Linked DNA regions of Kluyveromyces lactis. The protein of the gene in region 1 purifies or fractionates together with the protein of each later gene. This does not show direct contact. Links are inferred from orthologs where the notes say so. Each region holds a gene or a part of one and is shown on either strand. Other genes may lie near its edges.

Region 1 (4,426 bases):
AGATGATTTTTTTGTTATCCCAATTTATCAAAACTACTCTCCTGTCTTTCTATCGTCCAACCCTACGCCAATGGAAATATACAAACCATGGCATGGCTTTGACAATAACGAACACCTCGCCACTTATAACACAGATTTGTTTTACAAGAAAAAAGAAAACGGAGCTAGTCAACTAATGCATGAGTCTACACAGAAGGTTCTTGTATCTTGTAATCATGCCGTGCACTATCGCTGTTTCAAACATTATATTGATAAGAAGCGGTATAGTACAGATCTCTTCATCTGCCCATTATGTCAAACGTATTGTAATTCAGTCATACCTGTCGATACAGTTAAACTTCAATCTGGTGATAGGCTTTTGCAACAGAAATTGACTGGAGGCTTGGATGAATCTTTATTGCTAACTTTTTCTGAGTACAGCTCTGAATGTAACGACGAAGTTGGAAAAATAATACTATCTCTCAAAGATTCTAACAATGGTCTACGGTTAAATCGCAATGATCCTACTTGGATCCAGGATAGGTTTTTAACTCTCTCTCTTCAGTTTTCTAACAACATCTGTATGCTAGAGATGTTGTCCAGGCTTAATAAAGATCCTTTTGGAACACTCTTATCAGGTGAAGAACAGAAATTTAAGACACTGCAGAACATTCTCAAGTCCTTGGCTGTCTACACACGATTAACTAAGCATACTGAAGAGAATGTACTCAAATTCTATGAAGATATTCGTAGCAGCAATTTACCAAGTTATCCGTTTTTCCGAGTTGTTGAAACGGTATTAAGGTCTAGACTTTCCTTTAAGGATTGTTTACAGGAAGTACTCGTGGAGCGTTTGAAGGGTCTGACAAAAGACTTTGGGTCTTTCTATAGGAAATATGAATCCGAGCTTCGAGCCCAGACTTGCCTTGACTCCTCTGAATTTTCAATTGTATTGAAAACAACGATATTAGGAGCTGGATTTGGTGATCAAGTTGAAAAGCACACCTTGGATTTGTTCTATACCTTCTTAATTTCTGAATTGCTACCTACGCTAAGGAGATCAATTATCTTGCTGAAGGCCTTAAAGCAATTTATGACAGGGGGGGATGATTTAGATTTTAATGAAAAAGATGTGCTGAGTGGTAGCCTTACTTCCGAAAGCAAAGAAAAACATTTCCATCTTTTGATAAGATTTTTGCTCCAGACTGATTTTTATGACTTGTTGATGAATTCGCATTCTCCTCTCTCCCCTGAAAGCTCCTTGGTTAATGCTCCACATGAGTACTGCAGTATCATCAAATTAACCGATTTAGCAACTCATTTGAATACTTATGTGACTAATAATAAAAACATTACTTTGCGTGAAGAGAATGATCAAAAAATTAGAAATACTGTCAACAGACTTGATTATAAAATTTGTTTGATATGTGGTGTCAAGATTCACGCACGTACAGATGGCCTTGAAATGCAAAAGCACATGGAAAGGTGTTCCCATGGTTCCAGTGGGTTGTTTTTAATTCCTAATATCAGTCAAGTGTGCCTCTATTTAAGTAGACCGGACTGTACCGTCAACATTTCGGCCCCTTATTTGAACTCACACGGTGAATCAGGAAGAAACGCTATCGAACGAGGTGATCTAACAGTATTAAATCATGCTAGATATGAACATTTAACTCGTCTTTGGATTTCAAATGGTATCCCCGGTTATATCAGCCGAGTAATGGGGGACGAATTCAGGGTTGCGATGGCAAATAACCGAACATTTACGAGGAACATGTTTTGGAGACCTGGTGCTGCTTTCAACGCTGGTGGGGAGAGCAGTGACGAGGACCTTATGAACGATGATGAGTTTGGGAATGATGATCGTCCAGATCTAAGGTTTAGACAGCCTGATGTTGAATTACGCATCAATGGTGGACCATTCGGTGGAGATATCCCTATAAGATTACCAACCGAAAGAGGTGACATACATGATTTTTTCGAGTTTGTTCAAAACATGAGAGGGGGTATGCAAGGTGATGGCGCAGACATTCCGACTACAGAAGATATCATTGAACAACTGCAAGGAAATGCAATGAATGGATTCTTCGGCCGTGCAGATAGAAATAGAGAGCACTTTGAACTGAATGATCAAAGTGACGGCAATGAAGATGGTGAGGACGAAGAGCACGAAAACAACGCTTCGGAAGATCAAGACACGGAATACAGTTCTGCAGAAGAAGGTTTTGATTTCAACGAGTTAAATAACGTAGAATGAATAACTTTTTGCTCGTCACACCTCAAAATTGCCTTAACCTTATGGCACCATTCACAACTTCAATGTACCAAATATATATAGAATAGCACGTTATTTCGTTTATGCACACATCGATATAAGATATTTTTACTAGTTTTGCATAAATCTGCAATATGTGGAGTGGACTGACCACAGGATACTATGCCGTCCAATATCTTACAGAATCTTTTATTGTAGCCTGACTCTGTCCCACCCTTTGATAATTCATGTTGAAAGTACTCCCAGTACTAGACTTTTGCACGTGATTACTTCTGGATATCATACCATACGACCCAATTATATCCGAGTACGGAACTTTTCTTCAAATTTTTGAAAAACTGGATAAATGTATAAAACGGAAAGCTAACTTCGACTGATGCCAAAGACAAGGTTTAATAAGAAAAAGTTCAGCTCAACAGAAACCAGAACTCCCGTTTTAGAAATGGTATGTTAATGATTTGATTAGTCATGGATAATACATATGATATGCGTCTTTTCTGGATCTGAAAACATTGATTTTGGCGTAGATGTCTTATTTGACTTCTGGAATTGAGAAACCGAAAACTGGGAACTGAAAAAACTGTTTGTAAACACGATGCAAATTACATTGAGCAGATGCTAATGTACAATTATACTATTATTAGTGAAATATACTTCCAAAGCTGAATGTCTGCATATCCCGTGGTGTTTCCGATGCCTGTTAAGGTTCCCTGGAGGTATGACCGATATCTCCATATAATAGAAAGGCAGTCTCAATACTACATTTATCTTCGAAGTACGACCATGGCTTATCGCATGTATATCAGTTACATCAAACAAGTGAAGAATGGACACCTTCTGGGCAAAATCCAGCGGCTGTTTTCCCAGATCATTGCGGATTGACTACATGAAATATTAGATCATATTACTAACAATTATTTTTCTGAACAACTTAATTATCACAGTCTTTCGCCTCTACTCTGTACAAAACTGTCTTTAAGAGAAACTCTGTTTTCGTTGGTACCGTGTTCGCCTCTGCCTTCGTTTTCCAAGCTGCCTTCGATACTGGTGTGACCTCTTGGTACGAAAACCACAACAAAGGTAAGTTATGGAAAGATATCAAGGGTGGTATCATGAACGGTGGTGAAGAAGATGAAGAAGACGATGAATAAGTTTCTTTTGACATTTGAATTATATCATTTCTCATCATTATACTTTTAAGTGTCTTTTCATTGATGCTTTTGTTCAATTATTTTACTTCTTAGAATATACCGTCACTTCAAAACATATTTTAAAAATGTGGATACGCTACTGTCGGGAAACATTTATCTATCCGGCACTCCATACGTCTACCAGGCCTAGGACATCAACTTTGGAATGATGTTCTCAGATTTTCATAACATTCATCCTTTTCGCTATCGGAATCTCACTCGATTCAAGAGATAAAAAGGGTAAAACATATATGACCATAAAGCGTGAATATCTGCGCATTGATGTTCATCTTATTTGTTGTTAGCTGTTTTTCCCTCTACTCCTATTTATTTTCAACTCACTTATTTGAAATCTCATCAATCAATCACATATGCGGCTCAATTGTATTTAAATACAATGTATTGTTTGTGCTGTTTCTGTGTATTAATCATGTCTATACGATAATAAAAAAGAATTACCCATTATTTGTGTACCAATACCGTACTTTTGTTTATATATATATACCTGAATTTATTCGACGGGTATGAAATAGCATTCATAATGTATGATTATACGTAAGACGCGAATATAACATTATACAAATCTATATACATGTAGCTTGTAATGAATCAGAGCATTAAATAACTTCTTTTATCTCAAAAGTTGCGCCCCTTAGATTTCACCGTTAACCGAAGCTTGCTGAATTCTGTTAATGTAAGCCTTTGAAATGGCATTCCAACTTCTCATATATTTAGCCAAACATTGGTCGACGCAGTTATCTTGAGAAGCAGCATATGGAGCATTCAGACATTTCTCAAAACAGTTCTCAGTGACTTTGTTAACTAACTCGGTAGCATTGGCGATGGCTAATTCTTGAGAGATTTGAGATTTAAGTTGGGTCTTGACATCGCTAGGACTGGATGTGGCTGGGGTACCAGATGATGAAGAGCTACCACCAAAGATCGAAGTTAAAGCCATATCTTAATGTGTTCTATGATAGAT
Region 2 (5,086 bases), on another chromosome or scaffold:
ATTTAACGATATTGATGAAAGCGTCAAATTTTGGGATGGACATTTGTAAAGAGCTGGTTGTGATGATAGAGAATATTTTGGATCAAGGTCTTCTGAATCATCTTGTAGATCTTGTAATTTTGCAAGATATTTGGAACGAACATTCGATTCGTCATAATCTGAAATAGAGTCTGATGACGAAGAATCTGAATTTGTTCCCAAATCAGAATCAGAGTCGGATTCAGAGTCAGATCCAGAGTCAGACGACACATACGAATGATGGATGTGCTGGTACTTTGGGGGAGCGTTGTCAAAATCTTCCTGTTCTTCATCGCTATCGCTATCGCTATATTCATCGTCATCAGCTTCTTCTTCGTTGTAATGGTAGTCATTTGATGAACTTCTGGAGACGATATCGTCGAATTTGGCTACTGAAGAGGAGAGTCTATCGAGTAAATTAGCATGGCCTACTAGAATTCTCAAATCATGATCTCTTCCACTGTTTTTATTTGCTGCGGCTAGTAGCTTGCCTTTAGCCCTTGAGGCAAGCATATATTGTTGTGACAGACTTAATATGGTAGCCATTTTTTTTTTAGTATGTTCTTTTTGGTGGCAGTTATCTGTCCTTAATACAGTAAAAGTTAATTCGCTCTGGAGTACCGTTTTGATGTCGTTGACTATAACTAATGACGTTACTATGGGGCGTCAACAGATAATCTCAGCCAGTGTCAGATAATATTTACACCCACCCGACATACATATATATATATATAAGTAAAGACGTGACAAAGCAATTCAGATATACGTGGATATTTGATAAGGCCCGCAAAGTATCCGAAGCGTTTTATAACCACCTTTGACACATCTCAAAACGATAAACTTCTCAGCTTTGTAAAACTTAAAACCCGTTCCTGAGATGAGCCATTATTATTACAAATGCTTTTTTTGCATTAGTGTCGCTCGAACTTGCACCTAGCACAAAACACCAAACACATATTTTTCGGCATTTTCCCCTTTCCATTTTGACAAATGCAATCCAAAGTACATACCATGAAACTGACAAATGCACAAAAAAGCACTCAACTTCCTCACAAAACCAAGCAACGAACTCCGAGCCATTCTGAAAGCCAGACTGAAAGCTACTGATAGGATTATCAGTACCAACATGTGTTTACAGTCTGCTGACCCTTGTTACTCGTATTTCCTAGCATGCAAAAACGTAGAAAATCCCTTCCATGTAATAAAATAGATCCCGCGGAGCTATTTTACCACGGCTGTTAACCCAAGAATCCATGTCAAAAGAAAACTGAAATAATACGGGAGGCATTCTTTCAAAACTGGCGGCAAGAACAACAACCGTTCCGGACGGGGATTACATGGGAGTTAAGATATTTGGATCCTGATGGACCGACCATTTTTCAGCGCATTTTGCTTTGCGGGAATAAGCTCCCTTCTAAATTTCTTAGAAACCTTGCTTGAAGAAGTCGTAAATACATGCAGGGATAGTTGGCGAATGAAATGATGATTTTATTTCCGAAGAGTAAATCCGAATGGATATTCGTTGCGGTGTTTTCAAGGCGAGAATCGAACACTTACACTGTACGCACAAACCACCAGCAAGCAAGCAAGTAATCAAAAAAAAAAAAAGTACTCATTTGGACTTTGGTACTTACCCGAATCTTTCTATTGTGCGGGTAAGTGTAATTTTATTCACGTGAGTCGAATTTCAATCTCGGTATTTGATCATCTTTGACGAACCAATGGAAATCCAGTTCGGGCATCGTATTTCACGGTTCATTTTTCATTCAAAGTTTACCGCTTACCATAGGAAATCGAGCATTTCCACTGTTTATTATGGGAAAAGAAATGCTGGTACCGATACTTCCGTAACTGCGAGATGAGCGAGAAAGAGGGATATGCAATCCCAAAAATGTCGATTTGATTGGAAATGTTCGAGCAGATGGAATTAGCAGTTTTGGGGCTAAATTCTCGTCCCGAAAAGTACTCGCTACTATGTAAATTTTTGTTTTTCGGACCAGTTTCTCGGCCAGAAACGATTTTAATAATTGTTCAAAGGGGGTCCCCTATTAATTATGTGGACAGGTCGTTGTCCAATGAAAGAAAATCTCTATGCTACAGAGAAGACAAAGAAGAAGAGGTAAAAAAAAAAAATTATGGAAATATCGAAAAACTAGACAGCGCTCTCAGTATCAACATTTTTCACTTTTTTCATATAGTGTAACCTTCCAAAATTAAAAAAAAATTAAAAGTAGTTAGATAAATCATTGATATTTGTTTAATGAAAGTACACTAACTTTATTTAGACCTGTTTATAGTTTTCTACTCTTGTATATTGCTTCAGTCAAGTGTGCACAATTTTAAGGAAATTGAGAATTCAGTTAGGCTAAAAACTATCCAAACTTTGCTTTATATTTTTTTCAGTGAAATACCACTATACTGTTTTTTGAATCGATAGTATACCAACAGAAAGGTTTCCAAGGAAAAAAGTAAACGAGAATTATAACTTCGAAGGTATTACATTTGGGAGCTCATTGACTTGTTTTTGATCCCGTATTCTATTTATTTTGCACGTACAAATTCAACACACTATATTGATTAAACGGATTATAACCAATTATTTGCCATAAGAAAGATGTTGAGAACCGCTACTAGATCTTCAATCTTGAAGAGAACCATTGCCACTCAAATTACCCCAAAAGCCATCGTCACCGAACTATCTAACGGTGTTGTTGTTGCTACTGAACCAAACAGCAACTCTGCCACTGCTGCGGTCGGTTTGGTGTTCGGTTCCGGTACTACTGCCGAAAACCCATACAACAACGGTGTTTCCAACTTGTTGGCTAACTCCTTTGTCAACTCTTCTATCAAGGATGCTCAAAAATTGGGATTCTCCTTAGAAACCAAGGTTGGCAGAGACCACCAATCTTACATTGTTAACTCTCAACCAGGTCAATATGCTAAGGCTCTAGAATTCTTGCAATCCAAGCTTTTCGCTCCAATTGAGGACTCCGTCTTCGAAAGTTCCAAGAGAGCTACTGTAGACACTGTTGCCAAGTTCGAAGAAACTGAACACGAACAACGTGTTTTCGAACACTTGCACGCCACTGCTTTCCAAAACACTCCATTGTCTTTGCCAGTCAGAGGTACTGTCGAAACTCTAGAAGGTTTGGAAAACATCGACTTGTCCAACTTCGTTCAAAACCAATTCAAGGCAAACAACTCTGTTATTGTTGGTACCGGTAACGTTAACCACGATGAATTGGTCAAGGCTGTTGAAACTAAGCTTTCTTTGCTATCTGGTGACAAACCAGTGCCAAAGAAGAAGTCCACTTTCTTGGGTTCTGAAGTCAGACTAAGAGATGATACTCTACCAAAGGCTTGGGTATCTATCGCTGCTGAAGGTGAACCTATCAATTCTCCACAATACTATGTTGCTCAAGTCGCTGCTGAAGTCTTCGGTACTTTCGTTGCTGCTGAACCAGCTTCCAACCTACAAGGTGTTAAGTTGATCGACGAAGTTAACGAATACCACTTGTGTGACTCTTTCGAACACTTCTCTGTCTCTTATAAGGACTCCGGTTTGTGGGGTTTCAGAACCACCATCACCGACCCACACAACATCGATGAAACTGTCCATTTCACTTTGAAGCAATGGAACAGATTGTCCATCTCTGTCACCGAAACTGAAGTCGCTCGTGCTAAGTCTTTGTTAAAGTTGAAGTTGGCTTCTCAAGTTTCTACCAACGCTGCTGCTGCTAACTTGTTGGGTGCTCAAACCTTGGTTTTGGGTGCTAAGCCAGCCTTGGCTGAAGTCTTCACTAAGATTGACAAAATTACCTCCAAGGATATTAAGGCTTGGGCTTCCGAAAGATTATGGGATCAAGATATCGCTGTTGCCGGTACTGGTAAGATTGAAGACTTGTTGGACTACGTCAGAATGAGAAACGACATGAGTATGATGAGATGGTAATCAAACTAAAAGCCGAGTCTTAAGATATTTTAACAATTCTTTTTATATTATATTCTCATTTCACGACGGTCATTCTAAAAACAATTCTCTCTTTTCTACTCGACTGAGTAGAATTACTCCCTGTAACATTTACTTTTGAGTTGTTATAACCATATCACTCGATGAGTAATAAGTTACAGTTTAATTTCATGTGTGTATATTCCCCCAAAAAAAGAAATTTGTCACGATCGATTTATATCAATATTTTACTGTTTTGGACTAAAGTCTAGGGTGTTTACTGGCGCATTCGATTTTTCGCTCTGTCACAGCTCCTCAAGATCAATACATTTAATGAACATAATGTATTTTTTAATTCCAAATGATATTTGAAAATTTAGGCTAAATCGAAATAAATCAAAATCTCGCTCATTATTCGTCGAAACAAAAATATGAGTTCAATGTCCTTATTTATGATACTGTCATTTACTGGTGAGCAATTGAATACATTTTAACCATCAAGACTTTCTCTTGAGGTAATCTGGAAATTGCGGTATTCAAGTCATCCTAAAAAAAAAATTCAACACTCTACTTTCTATATCGAAACCTGAAAAAAAACATCAAATTATTATAATTAATCCTGTCTGAAATAACCTACTGATATATTCATTTGATACTAAGAAGAGTGACCTTTATGTTTTCCTTGTATCACGGGAAATATTAATAAACTCTTTATTTATATTTATTTCATATGTATGAAAAAACTAACTGAATTCTTAAATTAAGGCCTTGTGTTTTTATTCTGTATCTAACATAATAGCGTGGAACTTCTTGATGATAACTGCGTAATCATGCGCTGCATGATCACATTCTTTTTTTGTCTTGCAACGGACTAGTAGATAACTCATTTTTTTCCGCTTGAGTTACTGAATTCGTTGTATCTGGAGAAATGAATGTATTTATCCTTGAATCATCGTTTCTGGATGGATCCTCCTGATTAGATACTACGGGGGATACCATAGATGACGATGATCCAAACTCGTTCAAGGGCATTTTACTTTTCTTTGGAGTTGTTATGAAGCCATCATTCTCCTTGGTTTCTTTGTACTGATAATCATCCAACTCGGTGACATTTCTTTT
Region 3 (4,832 bases), on another chromosome or scaffold:
TTAGTTTCATGGTATTGAAAGCGTGTTTTTCCTTGATTCGAAATAAGAATACAGCTCTTGAAGCAGCCCTATCTACAGTTCTTGGTACCTCTTGTATCTCTATCGCGTTATATTTGACCAAAGTACCGATGACAGTTCTAACGTCTTTCTCTCTCATAAGTGATGTAGTTGTAATTGTTCTTTCTGTACAAAGTCCATTGTCTCTAATACATCTTAATACTCGATGTGATGATGGTCCCAAAGTCGATGCGATTATTGAATCATAAGTAGATGATTTCAATATTGGGATTAGAGATGAGTATGGGACGAAAAATTGACCGGGTTTTGATTCTTTGATAAACGGAATATTCGCAGTTAACAGTAATCGCAGATGGCCATTCACTAACGATACAGAACGAGGATCACTATCATCTTCGTCGAGATCTAGGTTGGCATCTCCTTCTTCATTTTCTTCCTCACTTTCTTCCATAACGGTTGGCAATGGTGGTACTACGAAGCCATCTTCTGTTTTGATTCTTTTCTCAAATTGAGGTGGTGATTGGTTATGCTTTTGTTTTCGTTTTAATGACTGGTTTGAGTGAACTAGAGTACCTCTTAAATCCAAGTTGCTTGGGAGTCTTCTCGCCACATCAAGTGCAGTGAATGAAACACCTTTTACATTTTCTTCGTCAAGTTTGAGGTCTTCTTCCAAAGAAGTTCTTTCATCAAGGTCTTGGAAAAGGCCAGTCTTGGAAAGTGGATGACTCAACCCGTTGGAGTGTTGTTCTGTCATGGAAAGAGCTACAGCATAAATTTTGGATGAAGTAGTTCCAATTCTTGATTTGGCAAACTGGACTAACTGGTTTGATCTTCTTGATTTCAAGTATCTCTCCAAATTGAAAGTCAAAGAAACAGATTCATTAACTTTTTTGAAACCAGTTCCTGAATCTGTTAAAAAGATCTTACCATTTGAATCCTGGGATGGAGATGATACAATTCTGTTGAACTCCAACTTGGCCTTCGCTTTAGCCTCATTTCTTTTTTTCAAATCCGACTGTGTGGTGTTTTTCGGTAATTTCTTGTACTCTCGTAGATAAAGCATATTCCATAAATCAACGATTGGTGTATAATGGATCCCTTGCAAGGGAACCAAAAATTCCAGATCAGCCAATCTGACGAAAGCTTGGTGGATATTGAAAATATCAGTATCATTGGAATTGGATTCAGACGCTAAATAATCTTTTACGGTAAGTGATCCAAGGGCGAGAACGTTATGAATAATTTGTTGTGCGATGTTGACCAAGTGTTGCTCCTCATCCTGGTTGAAATATTGAACAATTCTGTCGCTGATGTCACCCGCATATAACATAAGGAACAAACCTTCTTCGTTAAAGTAGTAATAAAGGGTCTTACGACCAGAGAGTGAGGTTTCTTCCAAATATTGTACGCATCTTAATTGAATCAAACTGACCAAAACGGTTTTAATACTGGACAACGAAAGTTCTGGTATGAAAGAATGAATTTCTCTCGTGGAGAGTCTTCCTTTGTTGACCAACACGGATAGAACAGTACTGGCTCTTTCACCAAGATGGGATCTGGCAAGTTCAGAGTATAAAAACGAATCTGGGTTAAGAGTTCTCTGCTCTAATGAAGAGATATCGATTGGTTCTGGTGATGTGGATGTGGATGGTTCTGCGGCTGATACAACACTTGCACCACCATTTGGAACAGCCGCATCGGGGATCAGGGCAGCTTGGGCAGCACTCATGTCAGTGCTTGCAATAACAATTGTTTATTTTCCTACCTTTTCTACAGTCGAGCCACCTTGTTGCAGTAGTCATGCATGTATGCGATGAGATGAGATGAGATCAATTCAATTGATAGATTTTTTTTTTCTTTCAATACGAATGGATGGGTCTTTCAAGAAGATCGAAAGAAACAGGCAACATTATTGTAAGTCACGTGGTCACAACCACGTGACTTTTGTGTTTCTGTGTCACGTGACATCTCATCACTCACGAACCAATCATTTCTAAGAACCGTGTCCAACCATTTTTTCTTCAAATGGTTTACCAATACCCTTTCACAGTGCATTACGCGATTCCTGTCTGTTCCCTCTCACTCCCAGTACGTTCCGCTAAAACCCGATATCCCCTTCTTACTGTGACTCCAAGATGGTCTAAGCACGCTTCTCCTTTCTACAGAATCAGCTCGCTTCTTCTCTGATTCCTCTGTAGAGATCAGTCTTCACATCTCGAAATATCTTTTTTTTTTCAATTTTTTTTTTTTTTGTTAGTTATTGGATTTTATCGCATATAGCTTTATTCAATAGGTTCTTGAAAAATTTATAACAAAATATGACAATTCTACTTCAAAGTTTAGAGCTTTTTGTTTGAAGATTGGTTTTGATTACAGGTTTTGTAAAGATTTGTGATTGATATACTATTTTGATTACTTTGTTTTACTCGTTACTCTGTCAGTGTACTTTTTTTGCTCTGTTTCGATACTTATTTTGTGTGTGAGTAAATATTATTTGAGTTTGGACATTAAAGGAAAAGTAGAGGAAGACCTTTTGATTAACGCATAATTGATATTGATATTGATTGATATTCTGACTCCCAAAATTAAAAAGCCCATAAACATATAATATAAAGATGTTGTCCAGTAGATTACAATTTGCCCAGCAAACTGCTAGAAAATTCAGTATTTCCGCTAAAGACGGTTCCGGTAAACTATCCACTTTGGCTGTTAAGGTTCACGGTGGTTCTCGTTACGCCGACAAAGAAGGTATTGCCCACCTTTTGTCCAGATTCAACTTCCATAACACCGGTAACAAGTCTGCTTTGAGATTGGTTAGAGAAAGTGAATTGTTGGGTGGTAAGTTCGAATCCAGTGTTGACAGAGAATACATCACTTTGAAGGCTACTTTCTTGAAGGAAGATCTTCCATACTTCGTTAACGCTTTGGGTAACGTTTTGTACAAGACCAGTTTCAGACCCCACGAATTACCAGAATCTGTCTTGCCAGCTGCTAAGTACGACATTTCCGTTTCTGAAACTAACCCAATCAACAAGGCCGAAGACTTACTTTACAATGTCTCTTTCAGAAAGGACTTAGGTAACACAGTTCTATACAGAGGTGTCGAGAAGGTCACCTTGGATGATATCAAGGCTTATGCCAACAAGGTCTACACCAAGGAAAACATTGAAATTGTTGGTCAAGGTGTCAACGAAGCTGACTTGAAGAGATTTGTCAACGACTCTTTGATTGGTTCTTTACCAACTGGCTCCAAGTTGGCTGCTCAAGCTCAACCAAAGTTCTTCTCCGGTGAAGCCAGATTAAGTGCTCCAGGTGCCTCCGTTGCCGCTATCGCTGTTCCAGTTACTAAGGAACAGTTCGCTACCTACGAAGTCTTGGCTAAGTACCTAACCTCTGCTTTGTCCGAATTGTCTCCATTAATTGACTCAGCTAAGTTAGACAAGTACGCTAATGCCGGCTTGTTCTCTTTATACGTCAAGGGTGAGGATGCTTCTGTCGTTGCTGAAAACATAAAGAAGGTCGTTGATACCTTGAAGAAGGATGTCGACATTTCAGCTGCTAAGGAATACACTGCCTTGCAATTATCTTTGGAAAACGCTCCAATCGATGTCTCTAATGTCAAGAATGTCAAGTTGGACAAATTCTCTTACGCCGCTGTAGGTAACGTCGCTAAGCTACCTTTCGCTGATGAATTGTAAATTTCATCACAGTTAAAAATAACTCACAGATTTTAACCTTTCTCCTACTAGCCAAAGTTACACACATAGTACTTTAAAACTGAAAAAAAAACAACAAACAAACACACATATTCATGAGAGATGACAGAATCACATCACTGAAATGTTTAGAAACGATATTACATTTCTATTGTACATATTTTTTATTATCTTTTACCTTTCGTGGCTTTTGGAAACATTGCAACCTAAAAGAAACCAATAAAATTCAAAAACAAAACTCTCTAAGATTCAAAAGAACACCTTTAACCTTTGGAAAAACTGGTGATGTTAAAAGAGAACCCGTCAATATCTTAATCTTTTGAAATGTGCAGAAGCCACTGATCAAATTCAACAGTTCTGTTGATTCATACAATCCCCATCACTGCTCTTAAGAAAAACAATCAAACAGAGGTTGTGGTGATATTGCAAGAACGTTGGTTTAATACGTAGTGTGTCTTCTTGCCGAACCTATTTTTATTTTCACATATCATCTTAGAAACTTATCACTTATTTATTGAAGTATATATCTCTGAACAAATATCAGTTAACATATTATTGAGAACTAGCAAGTGGAAAGAATATCATAGATTACAGACAGAATAAAAAATAATAAATGATACATTTGGATAATTACTACAATTGACGTTCTAAAAAGAAAATCATAACGGAAATAATAAATTAAGTTAAGTTAAGGTAAAGTTTAACTAAAGTCTTTAGTGAATACTGAATGATTAAAGAGGTTCGATAACAGTTCTCAAAACTCCATTGGAAAAAGTAAATGATTACATTAAACATATGTAATCAAAGAAAAAAGATAAAAAGGCCATCCAACTTCTGAGAGCTCACAAACTGTCTTCGGTTGGGGAACAGGTAAGAATCATTCTAAAAGCTAGCACTAGAATATTACAATAAGGCATGAAAAACCATTATCCGTGCATTGGAAAATTGTACATTCGTACTTTGAAAAACGGTGATGTAAAGGCAATTGAATATTATAGTAACAACGATCGATTCCTGTTCAACTTTTTCCTGCAAATTAGATTCATATGAAAATGATAGAACATGTTCTGAACGATAGTGGGGAAAAGCAGGAAACTA

What was found. The genes of interacting proteins can lie anywhere in the genome.
Region 2: the proteins of QCR9 (region 1) and COR1 purify together in Saccharomyces cerevisiae (affinity purification with mass spectrometry; 3 studies listed by BioGRID). This does not show direct contact. The link is inferred for Kluyveromyces lactis from reciprocal best matches to the Saccharomyces cerevisiae genes QCR9 and COR1.
Region 3: the proteins of QCR9 (region 1) and QCR2 purify together in Saccharomyces cerevisiae (affinity purification with western blotting; 3 studies listed by BioGRID, with this or other methods). This does not show direct contact. The link is inferred for Kluyveromyces lactis from reciprocal best matches to the Saccharomyces cerevisiae genes QCR9 and QCR2.

What each region holds. Positions count from the first base shown.
Region 1 is NC_006042.1:1,408,266-1,412,691, reverse strand, and holds QCR9 (ubiquinol--cytochrome-c reductase subunit 9), read left to right. Parts: upstream 1-2,630; coding exon 2,631-2,699; intron 2,700-3,198; coding exon 3,199-3,405; downstream 3,406-4,426. Other genes in the region: E3 ubiquitin-protein ligase UBR1, read left to right, coding at 1-2,236; protein translocase subunit TIM13, read right to left, coding at 4,097-4,402. UniProt on the Saccharomyces cerevisiae protein: Component of the ubiquinol-cytochrome c oxidoreductase, a multisubunit transmembrane complex that is part of the mitochondrial electron transport chain which drives oxidative phosphorylation.
Region 2 is NC_006041.1:506,526-511,611, forward strand, and holds COR1 (ubiquinol--cytochrome-c reductase subunit COR1), read left to right. Parts: upstream 1-2,632; coding exon 2,633-3,970; downstream 3,971-5,086. Other genes in the region: ECM13 (Ecm13p), read right to left, coding at 1-564; PSY4 (Psy4p), read right to left, coding at 4,811-5,086. UniProt on the Saccharomyces cerevisiae protein: Component of the ubiquinol-cytochrome c oxidoreductase, a multisubunit transmembrane complex that is part of the mitochondrial electron transport chain which drives oxidative phosphorylation.
Region 3 is NC_006038.1:321,903-326,734, forward strand, and holds QCR2 (ubiquinol--cytochrome-c reductase subunit 2), read left to right. Parts: upstream 1-2,633; coding exon 2,634-3,716; downstream 3,717-4,832. Other genes in the region: RPC82 (DNA-directed RNA polymerase III subunit C82), read right to left, coding at 1-1,747. UniProt on the Saccharomyces cerevisiae protein: Component of the ubiquinol-cytochrome c oxidoreductase, a multisubunit transmembrane complex that is part of the mitochondrial electron transport chain which drives oxidative phosphorylation.